Schizosaccharomyces pombe: one gene and its partners. Changing the gene in region 2 together with the main gene of any one other region gives a genetic interaction. Each region holds a gene or a part of one and is shown on either strand. Other genes may lie near its edges.

Region 1 (6,835 bases), 1.9 Mb from region 2:
TCCAAAAAGCTCGAAAACATCTTGAGTTTGTGAGCTCTCGAATTGGCCCTGTACGCAATCCTGGTTCCATTGTAGAAGACCAGTTTAATTATTACCCCATTTCAAGCATTAAAAAGTTTTCCAGGATACCAGTGCAACTTCAACCACCTCTCAATAAGCAAAATTTCCCTCACAATATAGAATTTGAGACCGCTGACTTCTTGCGCTGGGAATCGAAACGAAAATTCAAAATAATACTAGCATTATCCGTATCTAAATGGGTGCATCTAAATAACCACGATGAAGGAATCATTAAATTCTTTGGGAAGATTAGTTCTTTATTGGAAACGAATGGTGTTCTTATTTTAGAACCTCAAGGATGGGACTCGTACTTGAAAGCTGCAAAAAAAATATCTGTAAGTCACGACTATCAATACTTCTAACTCTTACTTTTCTAGGTTTTTAATCAAACACCTGAGAACCTCAAAATCCAACCTGATGCGTTTGAACATTTGCTTAATCAAGCAGGACTAGTGCTTGAATACAGTATCGAACCTCAAGTAAATAACTCTGAGTACAAGAATTTTGCCAAACGAACAATGTATATCTATAAAAAAAAAGGAATTGGAATCATAAAACTATTAACTTCTACTTAATTGTCTAGTAAAACGTTAAGAATAGACAATGACTGGAACTATAAAGCATAATGTCCCAAAAGGACGTGTCTCATTTTTTATTAAATTCTCTAATTCAACATATGAGGAAAGAAAGAAAAGCGGAATGAAGTAGTTTTATTATTAGATTTGGCCTTTAATATCAACCACAGCATGCTTTTTCATGCATTTTTCGAATCTATCCGTGCTTTCTTTCATCAGTATGCGATTGGGATCTTTTGAATCGTATACAGCATTACAACTCCTAAAAAAGTTTACACAATCTTCCATTTCTTCAAATGCTAGTGTGTTAGCCAAAAATTCCATTGTAAGAGAAGGGCGATATGCTTTGCACATCATTATCATCGCCTGCACTCGTTCTCTCTCAATAAAAAGATCCATCAAATAACCTCCCATGTTGGGAGCGACTAAATATAGATGGAAAAATTTATAGTAATCGCCAGTAGCCATCGCCGAACGGACTTCTAATGCATGTGTAACAGCAGCGTTTGTTTTGTCTTCTTCTTTTAGATTGGCGAGAAGGCTATTCATTTCTATAAATTGTTAATAATTTGAATTCAAAAGATATATTCTTTTAAGCAGTAAGCCGTAATTAACTTACCAGATCGATTTTTAGTGAAGAGCATATACAGAATACGATATGCTAAAAATTCCTTAGTATTCCCTGGTATACCAAAACTGTAAAGATGAAATAATTGAGTTTGACATTGGTTATACTCGCCAACATCACCCTAGTCGAACGTTAGAAGAAGAAATGATATTTTAAAGTAATTAACCGTACCTTTTCAAGAGCTATACGAGCATGTATTTCGTAAACTAATACAGAAAACTCATTTTGAATCCTTTGCACAGTTAAATCCTGTCTTAAACTTTTAAATTGATCGCATATATATGCATAGTTTTTCTCTTCTTTCCATTTCTTCTTTAAAAGTTCGAGAGTTTGCTTAAGAACTGGAAGGGGTCGAACAGTATCCGGATCAGGAGCCGAAGTTAATCGCAAATACCTTTTCTCTAATTCTGTGGACCGTCCTATAATAGCACCATTCTCCGGGTTGACTTTTAGCTCTTCAGATTTAGCGTTATTTTGAGAACGAGAACCATTTTCAAACCTTCTTCTTCTTTTTTCTTTCTTATCCACTTCATCTTCTTCACTTAAAAGTGAAAATTGATTTCCAGAAACAGGCTTCTCAACCTTTCTTTTTTTATCTTCGATGATTGTATTTTGAGCATTTGTCAGTTTCCTTAGGGATTCTAAATTCATAGAAGACCAATCAACATTCCATATGTTTCCCATTTCGTATTGACGAGAAATTAGCAATTTTACTTCATCCTCTAATTCTGGCTGGCTGTTTTCCTCAGCGTCTTGGATGCATCTACCAATAAATTCTTTCAAAGAGTCCGGCCAAGGGCTATGATGTTCTTTTTTCATATTTAATATTTTTCATTGAGCTATATGATTAATGCTAAAGTTAAGTACTTTTCTCAACTTCCTCAATTGCTAAAGTGGTGAGTACCGAGATTGTATGAGAAGTGCGAGTCCGTCAGCTTAACCCTGTCAGTAACGTTGTAAGTCGATTTCATTATCCAACCTTTCAATCAATAAGGATTAATTTATTACTATTCAGTTGATCGTTCATCATTTTTTCCTTTAAAAATTTAAAAAGTCATCAAATAATTCAACGGTTCCACCTAAACTTGTTTGTTCGCTTAAAATTTATGAAACCAACATGGAAAGTAGTTAATATTAACTCACGCTATTCACGCATATTTTATTCTGTATGCCTCATATAGCCTTGATTAAACTACTAAAAGAGAGTAATATACCGAATTATCAAGCCTAAAACACTACCTCCCAATAAAGCAATCGTAATTCATTATTAAATAAAAAAAAATTTGAAGACTGCTTCGAAAGTTTTGTAGTAATATCTTGAAGAATGTAGGTCTAAATTCTAAGCTTTTGGTGACATTATTTAAGATAACTAGCAACCGGAATGATTAAGCAAGAGTCATATTAAATAAGTACGGAATATAAACACCAAATTCAGTGGTGCATCAAGTAGATAGATTTTATATTTTTGAAACAGCTGGTAGTATTAGCAGCATTAAAAACATCGTTTAAATGTCTCTGTATTAAACACCATATTGACATAAAACAAACTAAGCGTTCACCACTATTATGATATTATGAATGATTACATGATTTCAATAATTAATAATCAAAATTAAATGATAAAAGTTTTATTAAATATATTCATTTTCTCATGGAGCGACAACAGATTATAGAGTCTTTACGCAGAATAATTCCCACTGAAAGTACAGAATATAATGAACGGCTTATTAGTTTAGGAGAGTCATTTTTGGAATGGTCCAAATATAAACATAATCTAAAGGCGACAGAAGAGTTATGCCGTCCTTATATGGCAGCGCACTTAGCTTGTGAACTGTAAGTAACTTCTGATGTTTAATTACTCTACTTGAACTTGTTCTGACTCTTTAAAAAGATTATCCAATGATTTAAATTTGGAAATAAATTTACTAGCGACTCCAATTCCAAAAAAGAAATACTATAAACTTTTCACTTACTTTCAAGAAATCTTATCTCCATTAACTAAATCCTTAGCAGCTAAAGATGATCTGATGGAAACCATTACTTATCTTTGTACCAAACTAGGGGGCTCAACTGCTATACCTTATGTTAAACAATTGGTGAAAGCCGTTGTTACAAACGACATGCGCATCGAACACAAAAGAGGCATCATAATCGCAGCTTATTTACTAGTATCGGCAAAAGCTTTTGGAAAAGACGAACTTCATATAAATCACACCGAGAGAAGAAAGGCACAGAGTGTTTTACAGGATACAAGTTCTGCATTGCAAATTCAGTATTGGATGCATGTCCTCTCAGAAAGTTGGCAGTATAAAGAAATCCCTTTAAATGGTATAGAGGGTTATGAATCTCAAAAGCAACGGATAAAACCTTGGAGTGGGATAGCAAGCATGATTCAAATAGATTACGAAAAACGACTTCAAAATTATCCAATATGGAAGGCCTGCATTGAAGAAAGAATCCAATATTACAAAAGCCAGCTTGAAAAAGATGGTACTGCTTCATGAATACAATTTACTATATTAATTTTTTTTTGTACATTAAACAACATTTATAAACGGGTACACGATATCTTTAGTGATATATACAAATACATGAGTAAAAAAAAGTTAAATTAGACTCTAAGCTTTACTAATAGACCACTCCAAATTTGTAATAGACACTTCTGAAGAGGCATTTTCATCATAGTCATACCAATCATCCTCTAATACTATTTCGTCAAAAAGTGTATTACTTTCAGCACCATTAGCTATCCATTCTCCCTGAGGAATGAATTCGACTAGTTCACATCCTCTGCATTCCAATACGAGAACTTTTTTCGTCTCTTGAGAATCATTGTAAGGAGAGAATGGCCCCTCTATAACGAAAGAGCAAGTTTTGCGACAATTTTTGCACGTCCATATGAGATTAGCCTCGCCCTTGCTGCCAGGTATGCTGTGAGTCTCGCTGCGGGAGATTTCAATGGCATTGTCGTGAATCTCTCGACAACCACTACATTGGACTTTAAAAGCATAATAGAAGGATTCTTCATCCTTGGGAGCTAAATTTTTCACACCAGTCAACTCAGCGTTTAAGTTAAGAGCAAATTTTCCCATATTGCGAAAGAAACTCTAGGAATGCAGCTTAACAAGCCGTTATATGTAATAAATTGAAAGAACAAGAAGATAGTAGAGTATGGGTATGTTGTTCGAAACGAATCTGTATTTTGGAGGATTAGAGTAATTTGCCTTTTGGTGGATTACGATGGTGAATGAATGAATATGCATGAATAGATACACCTATTTTAAGTCCGTAGAATGTGAGGGGCAGAAAAAAACTCAATTAAAGCATACTTTTCAATGAAATTAAAAAATTACAGAAATGCTAAATTTGAAGTAATTGGATACGTTTTTCTCATTGAAATAATATATTGATGAAGAATATAACATAGTCAATTATTAAATGAGACTTGGCAAAATCTAAATATCAGCTAAGATAGCTGTTCATTTGAGTGAATTACTTGGAGTTTGCTTAGTGACGGATACATAGTTAGTCTAATATAAAAACATGCCAAATATCCTCGACAATCATTATTCAGCAAGTAATTTTCGAATACTTGGTATCATTTTTAATGTTAAAAGTCATATTGTACTTTTCGCAATGCCGTAGCACAGATAACCAGCTACACGAATTTATACGGCAAATAGTCAAATTCCAACTATTGTGTTTTGTCCATATTTCATTTAATGCTTTACCGTAGACAAATTTACATGCAACTTTTTTATTTGCTTTCTGATTGATTACAACTTGTGTGAGCATTTCAATGTATACCTTCATCTGCAATTGCCCTTTACACACATTATTTCTTTACCTTTATTAACTTAGCCAGAATTGGGAAGGCCAGTCATTCTAGCCTGCAGCATTTTACGTTGTGTTCACTAGGGATCCCTAAAAGGTTAATGTTTTAGGGTGATTAAAGGTCGACTGGTATGGTATGGTATGGTAAAGTGGTATTTTTTGAAAATTGACACCAATAAAACATCTGCATATTTGTAGAAGCAAGAGTGATTCAGTAAGTGCTTGCGAGGAATAAGAGGTGTGGCGTGTATGTTGAGGAGCTTATTAAGCCAATTTTTTTTTTTCATATCTTTAACGACGAGAATCATTCAAAGAGCCAGAACAAAAAACAGATGACATTATTCAGGCCTGTTTACGACTGACATGACGCTATACGAGAAACAATATTGTCGGAGCGAGGATGATAAAAGTGTTGAAAGTGCGAAAATCGTGAATAATCTATATTTATCGCATGTGTCGGGATTGCAAATGGTACCATTGTACTGCAATTAGACTAGGTAGTCCTGGGCAGTCGCTGAGACAGCATTGGAGTTAGTGTTTACAATAGTTGATTATACATGTTTCATGTTTGAATAGCGAGGTTGGGAAAAAGAGAAAAACATCATAATAGTCAATGATGGTATTTAGTCATGATAGTAGTTTATTACAACAGCAACAGTAATGATCATAAGTAATACCATCATAGTAATATTTGTAGAAATAATGATATAAACAGTCCATACTAAGCAGGGATGATATTAGCTATACTAAGATGCCTATGGCAATCTGGAATTACATAACTACGTACGCTTTCTTTTTACATCTACTGGGACACTGTACATGCTAGAGCAGTGCATTCTGCTATTTTGATTTTTAGTGAGCTCGCGTGCAGCTTGATCGACAAAGGATCGACTAAAAAAATGCGGGATTTACAATACATAAGATTCACCAATAAGCAGAGTTAGAAGCCAAGGCCCGCATATTGGACCACTCACCAGCCCGTTACGCTTCCTCCTTATTCGCCTTTAAAATACTAAGTAAACACAAGTAACATACGTTTCCTCCATGCTCGCTAAATTGGTAGCAATAAAAAAATAGCGAGCACGCTCGGATGAGATAAGAAGACATAGCAAAGCTTAAAACATTAGTAAATAGTACGTGCATTCTTTATGGCAAAACGTTTTAACATTTTCTGATATTAATATTAAACAAGAAGAAAAAGAATAGAGTAAAAGTTAAATGTAGGGTGCAACGTTCCGTAGAAGAGGACTACGTGAAAATGACAGCAAAGTATAGTTTTGTGTATGTCAACAATCGCCGTAACCCCGGGACACCCCCAAAAAAGGTTTTACCTATTGTTTTCTTAATCTATTTACGTACCAGCAGGAACAATGCAATAAACCACACAAAAAATTTTTAACGTACTGGATCAGCAAGGAAAGAAGGGCGATAAGTAAATGAATAATATGATATATTCGAAAATGCTTTTTTTTTGGATTACTAAGTACAGCATTGCTTCTATTTCCATAGCAATCCACTCTTTCGTGTGTTTGTTTACAACTAGTAGTAACTGTTTTCATTACTTTCGTAGAGGCGAATTGCTCTTTAACCTTGCTGACTCATTTGTTTCGGTAATCACAGACGATTGGTAACAAGTATGTCAAAGAGGCCAGCCATTTGATTCCCTTCTGCACCCGGTAGATAATCGAGCAATTGAAGACTTAAGGACTAGTGATTAGACAAAAGTGTCTGCCTCGCC
Region 2 (7,917 bases):
TCCGTTTGCATTTGGAAGAAGAAAATAATTTGAGCGATATCTTGCAGAAAGCTCAAAGTCAAAACCTTGATATTTGGGACTACAATTTCGATCATGTGGATTTACGTTTAAAAGAAGAAAATTTTGATTTTTGGAAGAGTCAATATCGTAGTGACATACTTATAAACAATCTGACAGAGACCTTATTTGAAAGCATTGTTCCAGATACTACGAATTCCCCTTTTTCCACAGAAGCTTTCCTTCAAGCCGTTGAAAATGGTCATTTAAATCACGAAATGTTTACTTCCTTTACGGATATTTTTTTCAAGTCATATCAGAATTTAGAATCGATTAATTCCTGGTTGAGGTTGATGGCGTCCCTTTACAAAGATTTAAGTGAACTAGTTCCAGTTGGAATTACAGCGGAAGGTCGAACGATTTTAGGCCTAAAATTGAACGGTCGACATCCTTCCGACAACGGGGAAAAGATTCGTAACAAGAAAGTGATTATTATTCAAGGAGGATCTCATGCTCGTGAGTGGATAGGTATTCCATCTGTTTGCTATGCCGCATGGCAATTGTTGGCAAAATATGATTCCGATGGTCATGTCCGAAAGCTTTTGGATAAATTTGAATGGATTTTTATTCCAGTTTTAAACGTTGATGGTTATGAATATACATGGTCAAACGATAGACTGGTAAGTGGTTTGTAATGAAGCATATACTAATTATTTGTCAGTGGTCAAAAAACAGACAGCCTCTTAATAATTCCGAGTGTTTTGGCATAAATCTCGATGCGAATTGGGCATTTGGCTTCAACGGTAATATTGATCCTTGCAGCAACGGTAAGCGAACTATTTTTTTTGATGACTTATTACAACTAACAAACTCAAGAATATGGAGGATTATCACCTTTTCAGGCTAACGAAACTATGGCCTTGTTCAATCTGATAACTGAATCCTTGTCGCAAGAGCAGAAAAAGGTCGTTGGATTTCTTGATGTGCATTCGTATTCACAATCTGGTATGTTTCGACAGTCTATTTTCATTTACTAATTAAGTTAGTTTTGTGGCCTTATGCATATACCTGCGACTTGTTTCCTCCTGATACTGAGAATTTTGAGGAATTAGCAATTGGCTTAGTTAAAGAGTTGCATCGCGTAAATAGTAGATACTACACATATCAACAAGCATGTATACCGTATGATGGATTTCATAAACATTACCTACCTGGAACTGCCATTGACTGGGTTTATTTTGCTGCTGATGTAGCATGGCCTTTCAATATTCGATTACGAGACATGGGTGATTATGTAAGTTGATATCTCTAAAATTTTTTACTAATTAAACAAGGGATATTTATTACCTGCTAAACAGATTGTCCCCACAGCTAAGGAATTTTTTGCGATGATTCTTTACTATGGAGAGTTTATCGCTGAGTATGCATTTTAGTCCAAGAAAGATCAATAATTATTCGCTTATCTGTTGGCAATTTTGCCAAATTTAATTATAGTAATTATTAATTTATGAAAATAAATACCTTCCTTCCAGGTGGTTCAATTGATGCGTTATTTACCTGTCTTAACAATAAATCCAGTTCTATCAATTAACGTTTTTTAGAACGTTATAAGAATTTAAGAGTGAATACTTACTAAAGTAGTGAATCATGATTACTTTGCAAGAGTAAATATTAAGATTTTTTGGTGTAATCGTATTTGCACTCCACCAACATAGTCTCAATAATAACAGTTGTGAATTGCATATTTTTTCAATATGACGACTGCACATGTATGCTCAATTTACATATATATCCTCTATTTTATAATTTAAAACTAACTCATGTTTAGAGACCCCAATTTGATCCAGCTAGGGGGCATTCAGAAATGGCCCCTACTAGGATAACGTCTAGTCGCGCATTACCAGCTCATTTAAAACTAAAATATAGACAAGAATCTCAAGGAACTGAGGAAGAGGTCAGAAAACAGGATTTACGAGAGGCATTGTTACGTGCAGAGGCTGCACATTTTGCAACTCAAGAACATGGTGCCTCTTCTGAAGAAGTAAGCCAGAATTCAAAACTCATAGAAGGTTTCACTTCCCCTTCAACGGACGATAAACCCAATAACGATGTTGAGGTTGATTATCAAGAGCTGTTACGGCAGACTTTGGAGGCGGACGAGGATGCTAGCGATAGCGACGACAGTGTGGATAGTTCAAATAAAAATTCTGAGGTATCAATTAAAAGAAGAAAAACAGAATCAAATTCTCAAGAATCCGTTGACTCATCAAATTCAGAAAGTTCGGACGAAGAGTCCGATTCAGAAGATGAGACACAACAGCTACTTCGAGAGTTGGAAAATATAAAACAAGAAAGAAAACGAGAGCAAATGCTTCAGGAAGAGAAAAACAGAGCACTGGAGCAAGAAAAAAGGGAACGGGAAATAGCTTTTGGAAATGAGCTTTTGAATAAAGCTTCTTCAGGGTCTTTTCAAGTTAAGCGTCGATGGGACGAAGACGTTGTTTTTAGGAATACACATAAAGGGGTTGATGACACACCTCGGCCTGGATTTGTTAATGATATGTTGAGAAGCGAGTTTCACAAGAAGTTCTTGGCAAGATTTGTTGATTAAATCACCTGTGGGTTTGCTGTCTTCTTTTCTTTCCACAAAACAAAATTTCTTCATTCTACTGCTATCATACAAGGCAATTTTTAAGAATGTTACTTATAAATGAGATGATAATGTTTAATTGATAACTTGCTTCTTTTTTTGTTTTAATACTGGCTGTACTGAGTTTAGTAGTTACAATTGTTGGTATATTAAGTTTACAAAATTTATAATTGCAAAGCCTTTATTTGAGTGATGCATATCTTATTTATTCTCTCACCAAATCTGCGTTAACGGAAGGGGTTACTGAAAAGTTTACTATAATTTAATGTAAATATTTTATCATTTTTAAAAAAGACAACTACTATAACTTTTTGTACGAAGGAAACATTTGAGAAATACTATATATATACTTTTGAAGTCGTTTGCTTTTACTTTTGAAATCACTAATTTATTTAACATAATGCAAGGATGGTTGCTCAATACCGAAATATAGTTTTACTACTGTACTGGCTAATCACCACTTGACTTTTACCAAGACATAAAGGCTTTCGTAAACAAAATGGCTTTGCGAGTTCCAAAGGCCTCTGGGCCTCAACTGTTTCGCGAAGGATATCGGATTATGCAGGGCGTAGAGGATGCAGTAATCCGTAATTGTAATGCTATTCGTGAACTTTCAGAAATCGTAAGGACCTATAATTTATTAAGCAAGTTTCATTCATTTACTGATACTTTTAGACCCGTACCTCTTTGGGTCCAAATGGAAAAAATAAAATTGGTATGTTGACTCAAACAGTTATTTCATTTCTTATTCTCTAACACACACATAGTTGTCAATCATCTGCAACAGACGTTTTTGACGAATGATGCTGCGACCATTATACGTGAATTGGAGGTTATTCATCCTGCTGCTAAACTAGTTGTCGATGCTACCCAACAACAGGAGAATGAGGTAAGTTAATTCATTAACTGTACAATTTTTTTTGAGATACACTTGTTTGAACATTAAATAAGCGGATTTTTTTTCTTTGCGGACTTTATTTTAAGCTTCCTTTACCTTTTGATCCACTCATGTGCCTTACAAAAGGGCATTTTAGAAAGCACTTTGATTACCCTTTTATCAACGTTTTCATGTTTTATATAACTCTATCGTATTGACGCTTACTTTGTTTATTTATACTTCAAATATTTGTACATTGATTTGCTCTTAAAACCATTTTCTGTTTACTAACCATTAGCTTGGTGATGCTGCAAATTTTGTGGTTGTATTTACAGGTGAACTTTTAGCCAAGGCTGAAAACATGATTCGCATGGGTCTCACTCCCTTGGAAATTGCTAAAGGATACGAAATGGCTTTATCACACACTATGGAGGTTTTGGAGGAAATTTGTGCTGATAAAATTGAGACTGTTGAAAGTGAGAAGGAGCTTATTAAAGCAATTCGAACTTGTATATCTTCTAAGCAATATGGAAATGAAGATTTCCTTTCGGATTTAGTTGCTAAAGCGATCCTCACAGTTCTTCCCAAAGATCCATCCAAGTTTAACGTTGACAATATCCGTGTGGTTAAAATTATGGGAAGTAGCCTTTATAACTCTCAGGTTGTAAAGGGCATGGTATTTCCTAGAGAGCCAGAGGGCACCGTTACACGTTCAAAAGAAGCTAAAGTTGCTGTTTTTTCATGCCCTTTGGATATTTCTCAAACCGAAACAAAAGGCACAGTATTGTTGCATAATGCTCAAGAAATGCTTGACTTTTCTAAAGGAGAGGAGAACCTTATTGAGTCTCACATTAAAGAAATTTACGATGCTGGTGTTAGGGTAGTTGTCACTAGTGGCAATGTCAATGACTTAGTTTTACATTATTTGAATAGATTTGAAATCCTTGTTATTCGTGTGCCAAGCAAATTTGAATTACGTCGCTTATGTCGGGTGGTTGGCGCTACCCCGTTGGCTCGTATGGGTGTTCCCATGCCTGAAGAGATGGGATCCGTCGATGTTGTTGAGACGATTGAGATTGGTGGTGATCGTGTCACTGTATTCCGTCAAGTTGAGGATATTACACGTACTGCAACAATCGTGCTTCGAGGGGCTACTAAGACATACTTGGATGATTTGGAAAGAGCGATTGATGATGGTGTAAATATCGTAAAAGCTTTGGTCAAAGATAACCGTTTAATCTTTGGTGCTGGAGCTAGTGATATGCAACTCTGTATTCGTCTAATTTCAGTTGGTGAAAAAACTCCTGGTATATATCAACATGCAATCAAACAGTATGGAGAAGCATTTGAGGTTGTTCCTAGGACTATTTCAGAAAACGCTGGATTAGATCCTACTGATGTTATTAGCAAACTTTATGCTGCCCATCATAAGGAAAACGGTGAATCAATTGGAGTTGATGTTGAATGTGAAAATGATGGAACATTAGATGCGAAAGAAGCTGGTATATTTGATGTTTTATTAGCAAAAAAATCAGCAATTAGATTAGCAACTGAAACTGTACTCACTGTTTTAAACGTTGATCAAGTTGTTATGTCTAAACCAGCTGGAGGTCCAAAACCACCTGGCCCCAACCCTCATTGGGATGATGATTAAAATTTAAGTGAGTTTCATTTTTCTACTAGGATTGGATTAAAACGATGAATAGTTTTTGTAAAAATCTGCTACTAATTTTCTATTGAAATTAAAAGCGCGTTATCAAAATAATTAGGTACAGACATAATCCATTGAAGTAAGACATTTATCATTAAAGGTCTCTAAATCGTAACGTTCTCTAATAACGGTAAAGTAAAGTTGCCATGTTTATTAAAATCTTTTAACAATTCAGTCGGTGTGCTGCGCTGGTCTCTATTTTTGAGAAGTTTTTTCACAAATAAGCGGAACCGCCATGAAGGATCGTCGTTATCATTAGTATTTCCAGTAGATCTTTTGAATGGCGATTTGCATAAGTGCCATGTATAATCACATCTTACAAGCCTTTGAACATAACGTTTGATCCTTACATTCTCAGGATCCAAAGTTGGGTAGGAGTCAAAGGGAAGACGACCCTCTAATAGTGCAAATAAAACTATTCCGAGAGACCAAGCGTCCGCGCGAAATCCATCATGTGCAATACCCATATAAACTTCCGGTGGTGCATATTCTTGGCTGCCGCAGCTGGATTGCACTAAATGATTTTTACTGTCAACAAAAATAGAAAGCTCAAAGTCAGAAATCTGAATTAAAGCATTTGGGTAGTTCTTCCAATTATCAATCGTCTTTATAACATTATAAGGTTGGGTAAGCAATATATCTAAAGACAAAGTGTTAGTTTAAAATCATAACTGTAAAAGTTGAAAATCCTTATTCATCGAGCTTACTTTCAAGTTTTAAATCTCTATGAATCAAACATTTGGAATGAAGGTAAGCAACTGTATGTACTAACTCAGAAAAAATTCGCCCAACAAATTCAAGGCTGAAATCCGAATGATGTTTTTTAGTGTAATGATAGAGATCTCCTCCCATACAATAATTCTCTACGAGTATTAATTCGGCGGAGGAAACGTAGTAATTTAATAGCTGCACAACACATGGATGCGACAAAGTTTTGAGGGCCCAAATTTCTTGCCGAAATACTTTTACTCTAGCTTTTTTTTCGTTTTGAGACTTGGATGATAAGTGAGTATGTTTTAGGACGATGGAAGTATCAAACTTCTTATTATTAGATTTGACAAGCAGTACTTCCCTTTGTTCCGTAGAGGTGATTTTAGTATTTATAGACCACAAATATTTCTCATTCTCGTCTGAATATAAAGCATATCCTCTACTTCTGCCTAATTGAAGAGAATACAATGATTTTTTTTGTATATTAGTTAAGCCAAAAATTAAATCGGAAAAAGTCTCTAAATCTCTATTAAATGGAGCATAGTTAGAAATTTCTAGTTTAGTTAAATCGTTCGTCAATGATTCAGATATATCAGTCTCAGACGGAAGAGCTGAAATATTCGGATTTACATGACGAATTTTATTTGAAAGAGGATATAGTTGCAGCGATTTTTCTTCGCAAGAATGTTTTTTTTCAGACATTAAAAGCCCATTCTTCCTAGATAGGGCTCAACTTTCTTCGAAATATACAAAATTCCAAAAACGGCTTCGATAGGATGAAGTCAGGTACTGACGCATATAAAAGGTTAGGATAGGTATTCTAAAAATGCTTATTGACTAAGACTGCCACATTGATTGACAGTTTAAAAAAAAAAAGAAAAATAATGAAAACTAAGCATTACATTTCATGGATTTCAGCTATCACCATATAGACCAGCTGCACTAGAGTCGTCCGAAGAGGGAGAACTATCTTTTCCATAGATATCTGAGTCTTCTGGTAATTCTTTAGATTCCTCTTCATTTTCTTCTTTTCTCTGGCTTTTAAATAATGATGTTTCTTCTTCTTCTTGGGAATAGGGTCCACTGGCAGGAGGAGGAAGAGGAGAGAGATTGTCTTCAGATGGATTTTCGACAATATTGGAAGTATATGGTACGCTGTTAATGCTTGGAGAGTAAGAATCTACTTGAGGAGAATAAGCATCATCACTGTTTGGAGAACTAGACGGAGGTGATGTTGTTTCTACATTATGTTTGCCAGCAGTAGAACTTTTATCTCCAAAACCTGCATCGGTCAAGGTAGAGGTAGCTGTTGTACTTTCCTTATTCTCTAAATTAGAAATTATGGATTCAACAGATTTTAGGCTCTCTTCTTCCTCTGAAAGTAGCTTTTTTTGTTCTTCTATAAGCGATTCCAAGGAAGTAATGAGTGTGGATCGGGATTCGATGCAAGCCTGATAATTACCTTTACATGATTCAGAGGCTTTATTTAGTTGCTTTTTATAATTATCGAGTAGTTCAGAATAATCTGATTGTTTCTCCAAGTATGATTTATACAATGCATCTACCACAGTTTTGGTAGAGTGAGCAGATTTTGCGTATAAACTAGTTTGTGTCATTAAACGAGTGTAAGGTGCCTATGCAATTAGTAAAGTTCTGATATTTTATTTGAATTGCGGCATACCCATTCCGGAGGGCCAACGGGGTAATAGTTAGAATGGCCACTGTTCTCGGCATTATTAAACCTTTCCTGCAAGGATAAAAGTATCTCCTTAGAAAATATGCCGCGTTGACACCAAACGTCAAAAACGTATTTGATTTTTGTTTTAATGGAAGCAGGAACTGACGCGTACGCGTCAGCTACAGAGTTTACGACATACTATGCAAATATTATTAGAATCTAAACCATATAGGAGATGTTCCAAGCTCATAATGATAGTAACTTACTGGAGAAACGGCATCAATATATTCAGA
Region 3 (7,575 bases), on a different chromosome or scaffold from region 2:
TTTACCACTTTTTCCTCTCCGACTTACGGAATAGTATCAGTCCGAGATCTTGATTGGGTGTCATTCGGAAAGTAATACACTCGTGTGACGTTTATTAAATTTTTTTTCTTATATACCCTTTCCGTCCCACTCCCAACTTTGAACGTTCATTTGGGGATTTAATTTGCATACATCTTTGCATATCTATTCTCAACATTTTAGTTTAAATATTCAAAATGCTTTTCCGCGGATTAAGCCTGTGGATGCTCTTTTTGGCATCCTGCCTTTCTGCCCTTGCTCTTCCCGCTGCTGAAGACGATGGTTCTGTCAAGGTCTTCAAGCGTGCCAAGAAGCATAGCACTAAGCAAGAGGGACCCAGTTACGCTCCTTATTATGTGGACTGTCCCTCTGATAACATTGTCGAGAGTCTCTCCAGCAATGAGATTCCTAGCGCCGAGTCTGAATACTTGAGCACTCGTTCTACTATTACCAACACTGCCATGAAGGACTTCCTTCGTAACGCCAACTTGCCTGGTTTGAATGCCGATACTCTTTCTGGCTCTGAAGGTCCTTCTATCGGTATTGCCTTGTCCGGTGGTGGTTTACGTGCCATGATTTTGGGTTCTGGTGCCCTCTCTGCCATGGATGCTCGTCACGACAACCACACTGTTTTGACTGGTCTCCTTCAAGCCTCTGACTATCTCGTTGGTACTGATGGTAGTGCCTGGACTGTTGGTGGCATTGCTCTCAACAATTTCAGTACCATTAACGACTTTAGCAAACTTTGGGCTTTCAACCACCCTTTGATGTATCCCAAGAGTGCTATTGTTTTCAACGCTCATTTCTACAGTTCTATTATGAATGAAGTTGCCGAAAAGGCCAATGCTGGCTTTAACATCAGTCTTTCCGATTACTGGGGACGTGTGATTTCTCGTACCCTTGGTGACACTACTTATGGTTTCCCTAATGTCTCTTTGTCTAGTATTACTTCCCAAGAATGGTACCGCAATGCCAACTTCCCTTACCCCATCATTACCTTTGCTACCCAAAACTATGGTGAGGATATTAGCAATGTTAACACTACTTTCTTTGAAGCTTCCCCCAACGTTTTCGGTACCTTTGACCATGGAATCAACTCCTTTATTCCTACCGAATACTTGGGTACTACCTTAAACAATGGTGCTAGCAGCAATGGTTCTTGCGTTATCAACTATGACAACTTTGGTTTCATGATGGGTGCTTCTTCTACTTACTTCAACAAGATAATGCGTAACTTCAATGACTCTTCTACCAAGAACGGTCGTATCATCCAACAATACTTGAAAGGTAACTTTTCTGAAAACGGTCAACAAATCATCTCCATTCCCAACCCCTTCCAAGGTGTTGAGAGTGCTAATTCTGATGCTGCCAACAACTTGGGTTCCAGCTCTTCCCTTAACTTAGTTGATACCTTCCTTACTGGTGAGAAGATTCCTTTGTGGCCTTTGTTGCAAAAGGGTCGTGATGTCGATGTTATCGTTGCCGTTGACAATGGTGATGACAGTGAATGGCTCTGGCCCAACGGTAACTCTCTTGTCCAAACTTATGAGCGTGTCGTTGCTGCCCAAGCTGCCGGAAACACCAATGTTAAGGGTTTCCCCTACGTTCCTAGCCAACAATCCTTTGTCAGTCTTCACTTCAACGATCGCCCTGTCTTCTTTGGTTGTGATGGTCGTAACACCACTGCTGGTAACCACACTGTTACCCGTGACACTCCTCCTTTGGTTATCTATCTTCCCAACGTTCCTTACAACTACTTCACTAACATTTCCACTGATCGCACCTACTACACTGAAGACATGATTCAACAACTTCTTACCAACGGCCTTATTTCCTCTACCGTTGACAATGACACCTACTTTGGTCAATGTTTTGCCTGTGCCGTTGTTAAGCGTACTTTGGAGCGTAACAACATCACTGCTAGCCCCGAGTGCCAACAATGCTACTATAACTACTGCTGGAGCGGTCTTTATGATGACAGCGCTGCTAATGATGATATTGTCTACAATCCTACTTGCCGTCTTGGTGAAGGCATTTAAGGAAAGGCGCATGCAAACTTTTCTCTCTTCAGTATTTATACGACATATCTGTTGCTCACAAGCAAAAGATAGAGGGCAATGCTTATGCCTGGAAAAAAGTTTTTAAAAAAAATCTATACAATGTCTGCTGTCTTAGCATAAATCAAACCTAGCCATATATGTGAATCAATCCAATTACGCGATATGGGTTTTTGTTAACGGATTATTAAACTGAACGTTCACTCCGCTCTAATTAGGGAGACTATTTTGTTATCTTCCGAAAGTATTTTATTCTAATTTACCCTCTCTTCGGAATGTTTTTTGTTCATTTTCTATTGTGAGCTTTCGTTTGCTGTAATTCAGTTTTGTTGACGGCTCCAAATTGGACGTGTTCTAGTTGTTTATGAGAGTTGCTGTTATATATAGTTGCGAAAATAAGTCATTTTTTTAATTCTTGGTTGTAATAAGAATGTTGTTTGTCTATATAAATAAGTTGACTGTAATTTTTTTGTTTTGTTTGATTCAAAAAATTATTATTTATATGTATATATTTTGTATGATAAAATTTGATTTTTAAAGGTTTGCTATACTTGAACAAGGAATAGTGAACTTTAACATACAGCCTATAATTCATTAATTAGGATGAGGAAGGAGATGTAGAAATGAAAAAATTTAGTTAACGTAAAACAGATTATACGATCATTTACAAATTATATCAACTGTACGCAATTTAATCAATGAAGTAGTGGGGATGTAGATGAGACAGTATAGAATACATCACAACGAGTAATGGGAGAAAAAAATTGTAGTAGTTGCGCGGGTTTTGCTCGGCCTCGGGCTTTACTTTCTAATCCGATGACTGTGAGTTACGTGTTTTGCAAAATTATTTAGCAAGTGTGCATTTTATGCTTTAAGTCTAAACGAAATGGGATCCGAGTTAACTTTAAGTTGAGGCTTTGCTTTTGATATAGGTATGCGCATGCGATTTACAAAAATCTAATCGAACAGAAGTAAGTATGTGTGTATGATAATAACATTTTGATAAATAAAGAAAACTGGCTAAACATATATTATGTAGAATTGAAAGAGCATAATTACAAGAAGAAAGACACTTGAAGATATGTTGTGATGTCATTAGATGTAGCGACTTTACAAACATGAAACTATGAGGAAAAAAAGAGTTACTGAGAGAGATTGATGATATTTTATATACACCATGACTCCAAAGATTGAAGGAAGTTAATAAATAAACATTGTGATTCATATTTTAATCAATTATGTAAAATGCGGCCAGTTGTAATGTAATGCGACTAATTTGATGCCAGTAATGTGTGTTAAATAATAGTCAAGGACAATCTGCAAGTTCCTTAGAAAGGTCCGGTTTCGAAGAGGCACACTTAATATCCGAGGGCGGCGCAGTTGAAATAACCAGCCCGGTTGAACGCTACATTCTCCTATACTTAACCTGCAAATGTTTCCGTCGTTAAGGATTTTAGATATATAGCTTAGCAACATTCATCCCAATGTGAACTTTAAAGCAGTCATAGTTGACCAGAAGATGAGCAACAAATTCAACGTAAAGGCTTGCGTCTCAGCGACTGCTCAAAATATAGATTTACACAACAACTTTACATATTAAGCGATATTTAAAGGACCGACAGTCTCGGTCTCTTTTCGCATAGAACGGAAGGGCATTTACATCATGGGGATGTAAATGGACCTTTTTTGATCTACAAAATGGGAATCTAAAAAATCTGTCAAAGATAGACATATGTGTCTCTGCTTACATATATATACATATATATATAGGCTGAATCACTTTCAACTTGCCTTTTCCCAATATTAAAATTATCGCACAAGTCGCTACTTTAGCTACTACTAACTTTTAGGGTAAGAAAGTGTAAGGGGGGATTTGCTTGGAGACTAGGCATGAGCTTGTATTTAATTGGAATAAAAGAAAAAGAATAGGAATTCATGAATTTGTTGAATGAAATTGCAAAACTGCAAGTCATTTGTATGAAACATAAAGCAGATGAATCCCAGGTTTTCGGTTACGATGCGACGTTTGCCGATGAACAGAAATGGTAAATGGTTTCGCATTTGATTCCGCAATACCGCAAACAGAAAATTTTATAAACCATGGAATTGTCAAGCGTTTCGCCAAATTCAAGAGCAAAATCCAGTGTTTATCTTAACATTGAGACGCTATGCTTTTTAATAAAAATCAATAACTTTGGATACTAACTTGTCATTTATTTAGACACAAATTACAATAATCAGATCCTCATATACCGGAGCAGAAATAACAGCACGGTAAGCAGATACAGTGATACAGTAAGAGCTGCGTTGGAATACGGGTGAATTTCAGCTATAAGGAGTTTTAAAATTTTTACGTAGTAGGGCGCTTTTGGTTTAATTTGTTTCACCATCCGTTTACAAATATTCCGTTGTTGTGTTGTTTTCGTTCACAAGAAAATTGTTTGAGGGTATAGTCAATTTTCTAAACTTTTGTGGGTCTAGAGAGACAGTCGTTGATTCCATCGTTTGTTTTGAGCGCGTTTTTGTAACGGCCTTCTAATCTCTGAGTTCAAGCAAAGCGGTGTGTAGATTTTGGCATAATTTCCCAAATTTATTGACCTAAAGACGGTTTAACTATAAAAAAAAAAGACAATGTTATTTAATTGTTTTGGAATACTCGCTCTGCTCCAGATCCTGCCGGCCTTGGCGTACCCGCCTTGTCGCGAGCAAATGTCGGATCCGTATGAGTTTGGGGAATCTGACTTAATGAGACCGGGCATGCATGACACGCCTCTTTCATTAATGCAAAAACGAGAGGCTTTGGCGATTTCGCTTTCCAAGCGCGACAGTGTTGGATCATACGCGCCTTATAATGTAACTTGTCCTAGTGACTATATGCTACGACCTGCTTCTGACGGAATAAGTTCAGGCGAGCAAAGTTTCATTGATAAACGTATCCCCAAAATCAATACACAAATGAGGTCCTTTATTTCCAACACTGGTTTGGACGTAGATGTAAACTCTGTGATTAATGATTCAGATGGCCCTCGTTTAGGACTTGCATTTTCTGGCGGTGGACTCCGCGCTATGGTCCACGGAGGAGGTGTTTTAAATGCTTTCGATTCTCGAAATGGCAATGGTTCTTCACTTGCTGGAATTCTTCAATCCGCCATGTATATCGCTGGTCTTTCTGGTGGTTCATGGCTGGTCGGTTCCGTAGCTGTTAATAACTTTGCCAATATTACTTATCTACGTGACAACGTTTGGAATTTGGAACATAGTGTCTTTGCTCCTCATGGTGACAATGTTGTCGAAAATCTTGCTTATTATGACGACCTGGATGATGAGATTGATCAAAAGAAAGATGCAGGATTCGATACTTCTTTGACCGATCTTTGGGGACGCGCTTTATCTCGTAAGCTTGTCGATGCTACCCAAGGTGGTCCAAATATCACATTTTCTAGCATTAGAAACCAAACTTGGTTCCAAAATGCCGACTATCCTTATCCCATCATTATATCTGACAGTCGTTTGGAAGAGGAAAAAGCTATCCCTGCCAACACCAGTATATTCGAATTTACTCCATACGAGTTTGGTACTTGGGACAATGGTATTAAAGCTTTTCTCCCTATGGAATACGTCGGTACCCATTTAAAGAATGGTGTTCCACCAGACCATAAGTGCATTCGTAACTATGATAATGCCGGTTTTGTTATGGGTACTTCAGCTACATTGTTCAACACGTTTCTGTTAGAATGGAGTCAGGAAGTAACGTCAAATAGTACTCTCTATGATATTATTCATAAAGTATTTGAAAAACTTTCTGAGGATCAAAATGACATCGCTCCTTACCCCAATCCTTATCAGAATTTCACGACTACAAACACCACCGTCAAAAACCCTTTTGAGCGATTCGATACTATTGATTTAGTAGATGGTGGTGAAGACGATGAGAACATTCCTATTTGGCCTTTGTTACATCCTCAAAGATTTGTTGACGTTATATTTGCTGTTGACGCAACTTATGATGATTCTAATGGTTGGCCTGATGGCTCTTCTATTGTTACTACATATGAAAGGATTATAACTTATAACGCCAATAAAAGTGTTGATGTTCGAGGTTTCCCGTATATCCCTGATGAGGACACAATCATTTCCTTGGGACTGAACACTCATCCAACATTCTTTGGATGTGACGGCAGAAACACTACTGCAGGTAATCATACCGTAGATAACAATACACCTCCTCTTCTTGTTTATTTCCCCAATTATCCTTGGGTTTACTATTCCAATATTTCCACGTTTACCATGTCTATGAATGACACTTTGTCCAGTGGCATTCTTGAAAATGCTGCTCTATCGGCTACTCAAAACAACAGCGATTCATTTGCAGTCTGTTTGGCATGCGCCATGATACAACGTTCCTTGGAGCGCAAAAATATGTCTACTCCTAGTCAATGCTCTTCTTGTTTTGAACAATACTGCTGGAATGGAACAACCGTGAACAACCCTAGTGCCGTTTCAAACTATGCTCCTACTGTGTTATCTGCATCAACCACTTCTGGTACCTCTTCTGTACGAGCCAAACCTATAGTATTTTATTTATTTGCTTCGCTTCTAACAGTTTCGTTACTATTATAGACGACGAAAGCCTCCCCCACTCACACACCTTGGTATGAGTCACTTTTCGACTTGAAAGAATTAAAAAGCATAGACTGAGTCAGGCTTTTATTTATTAATTGTAAGGTATTAATCACTACCAAACTTGTGGGGTTCAAAGGTTTTGTAGTTTTAGTGTTAGTGTTAGTGAATTCATTTTAAGTTTTCGAAGCACAATGTTTCTTTTCTCTAATGAAGATGTTTAGTTTAGTTAATTTAGGAAGATCGCTTTTATTTTTAAATATACAGACAATTAATTTTAATAATGATTGTGCAATTTTATAGATATCAAAGCTGTTTTGAATTATAAACCGTCAAAAAAGTCAGTTCCTAAAGGCTTTTTCCCTTGATTTCCCACCTTTTTCTTTTTCTTAGGACTCGAGAATTCAGAGTCGCTGCTGGAATCTTCATCACTATCTAAATTATCAGAGGAGGATGACTCATCTCCTTCCTTCTGATCAACCGGCCAGAAAGCTAGTTCGGTTCCACTACAGGAAACTAAAAAATTGCCTTCGGTAGTAACATCCACAGCGTCTACGGTTGATCGCGAAGAGTGTTGCCCTATAATTCTTTCGTATTTGTTTGGAAGAATGTGTAACAAACGTATACATCCGTCGCTTCCGCCAACATACAGACTGTCAGAATCAGCACGAGTTATTGTTTCTATTGAAAAATCATGGGACCGAATTGGCGATAAAATGCGATCGGTATGATCCCCCCAATCACCCTTTGTAAATAAAGTTATAACTCCACTGGCAGTACCAACAGCAAATTTCTTTTTTGAATGCTGATCCCGTGTAAAAGCTCCACAGGTCATTTCTTCGTCTTGTTCTTCACTCAATATTGGTTTTTTGAAATTACG

Evidence for each region. A genetic interaction does not mean that the proteins touch.
Region 1: mutations in cwf15 (region 2) and iss9 together harm fitness more than expected from each alone (negative genetic interaction), as found in Schizosaccharomyces pombe (one large-scale study listed by BioGRID).
Region 3: mutations in cwf15 (region 2) and plb3 together harm fitness more than expected from each alone (negative genetic interaction), as found in Schizosaccharomyces pombe (one large-scale study listed by BioGRID).

What each region holds. Positions count from the first base shown.
Region 1 is NC_003423.3:2,964,441-2,971,275, forward strand, and holds iss9 (nuclear export factor), read right to left. Parts: upstream 2,169-6,835; 5' UTR 2,083-2,168; coding exon 1,435-2,082; exon of another isoform or gene 1,385-1,434; coding exon 1,255-1,384; intron 1,187-1,254; coding exon 777-1,186; 3' UTR 665-776; downstream 1-664. Other genes in the region: bmc1 (Bin3 family regulator), read left to right, coding at 1-395, 438-635; origin recognition complex subunit Orc6, read left to right, coding at 2,915-3,096, 3,155-3,767; protein ess1, read right to left, coding at 3,882-4,355. UniProt on the Schizosaccharomyces pombe protein: Required for transcription elongation. May also be involved in pre-mRNA splicing.
Region 2 is NC_003423.3:1,035,808-1,043,724, reverse strand, and holds cwf15 (protein Cwf15), read left to right. Parts: upstream 1-1,695; 5' UTR 1,696-1,751; coding exon 1,752-1,766; exon of another isoform or gene 1,767-1,825; coding exon 1,826-2,608; 3' UTR 2,609-2,737; downstream 2,738-7,917. Other genes in the region: ecm14 (carboxypeptidase), read left to right, coding at 1-677, 719-824, 874-1,002, 1,044-1,291, 1,332-1,430; chaperonin-containing T-complex theta subunit Cct8, read left to right, coding at 3,147-3,269, 3,323-3,362, 3,415-3,536, 3,823-5,178; serine/threonine protein kinase Ppk27, read right to left, coding at 5,340-5,875, 5,943-6,648; rhn1 (RNA polymerase II transcription termination factor), read right to left, coding at 6,861-7,580, 7,628-7,822, 7,891-7,917. UniProt on the Schizosaccharomyces pombe protein: Involved in pre-mRNA splicing.
Region 3 is NC_003424.3:1,069,259-1,076,833, reverse strand, and holds plb3 (lysophospholipase Plb3), read left to right. Parts: upstream 1-4,471; 5' UTR 4,472-4,706; coding exon 4,707-6,695; 3' UTR 6,696-6,911; downstream 6,912-7,575. Other genes in the region: plb1 (lysophospholipase 1), read left to right, coding at 216-2,057; SPOM_SPAC1A6.11 (uncharacterized protein), read right to left, coding at 2,980-3,300; wdr55 (WD repeat-containing protein), read right to left, coding at 7,018-7,575.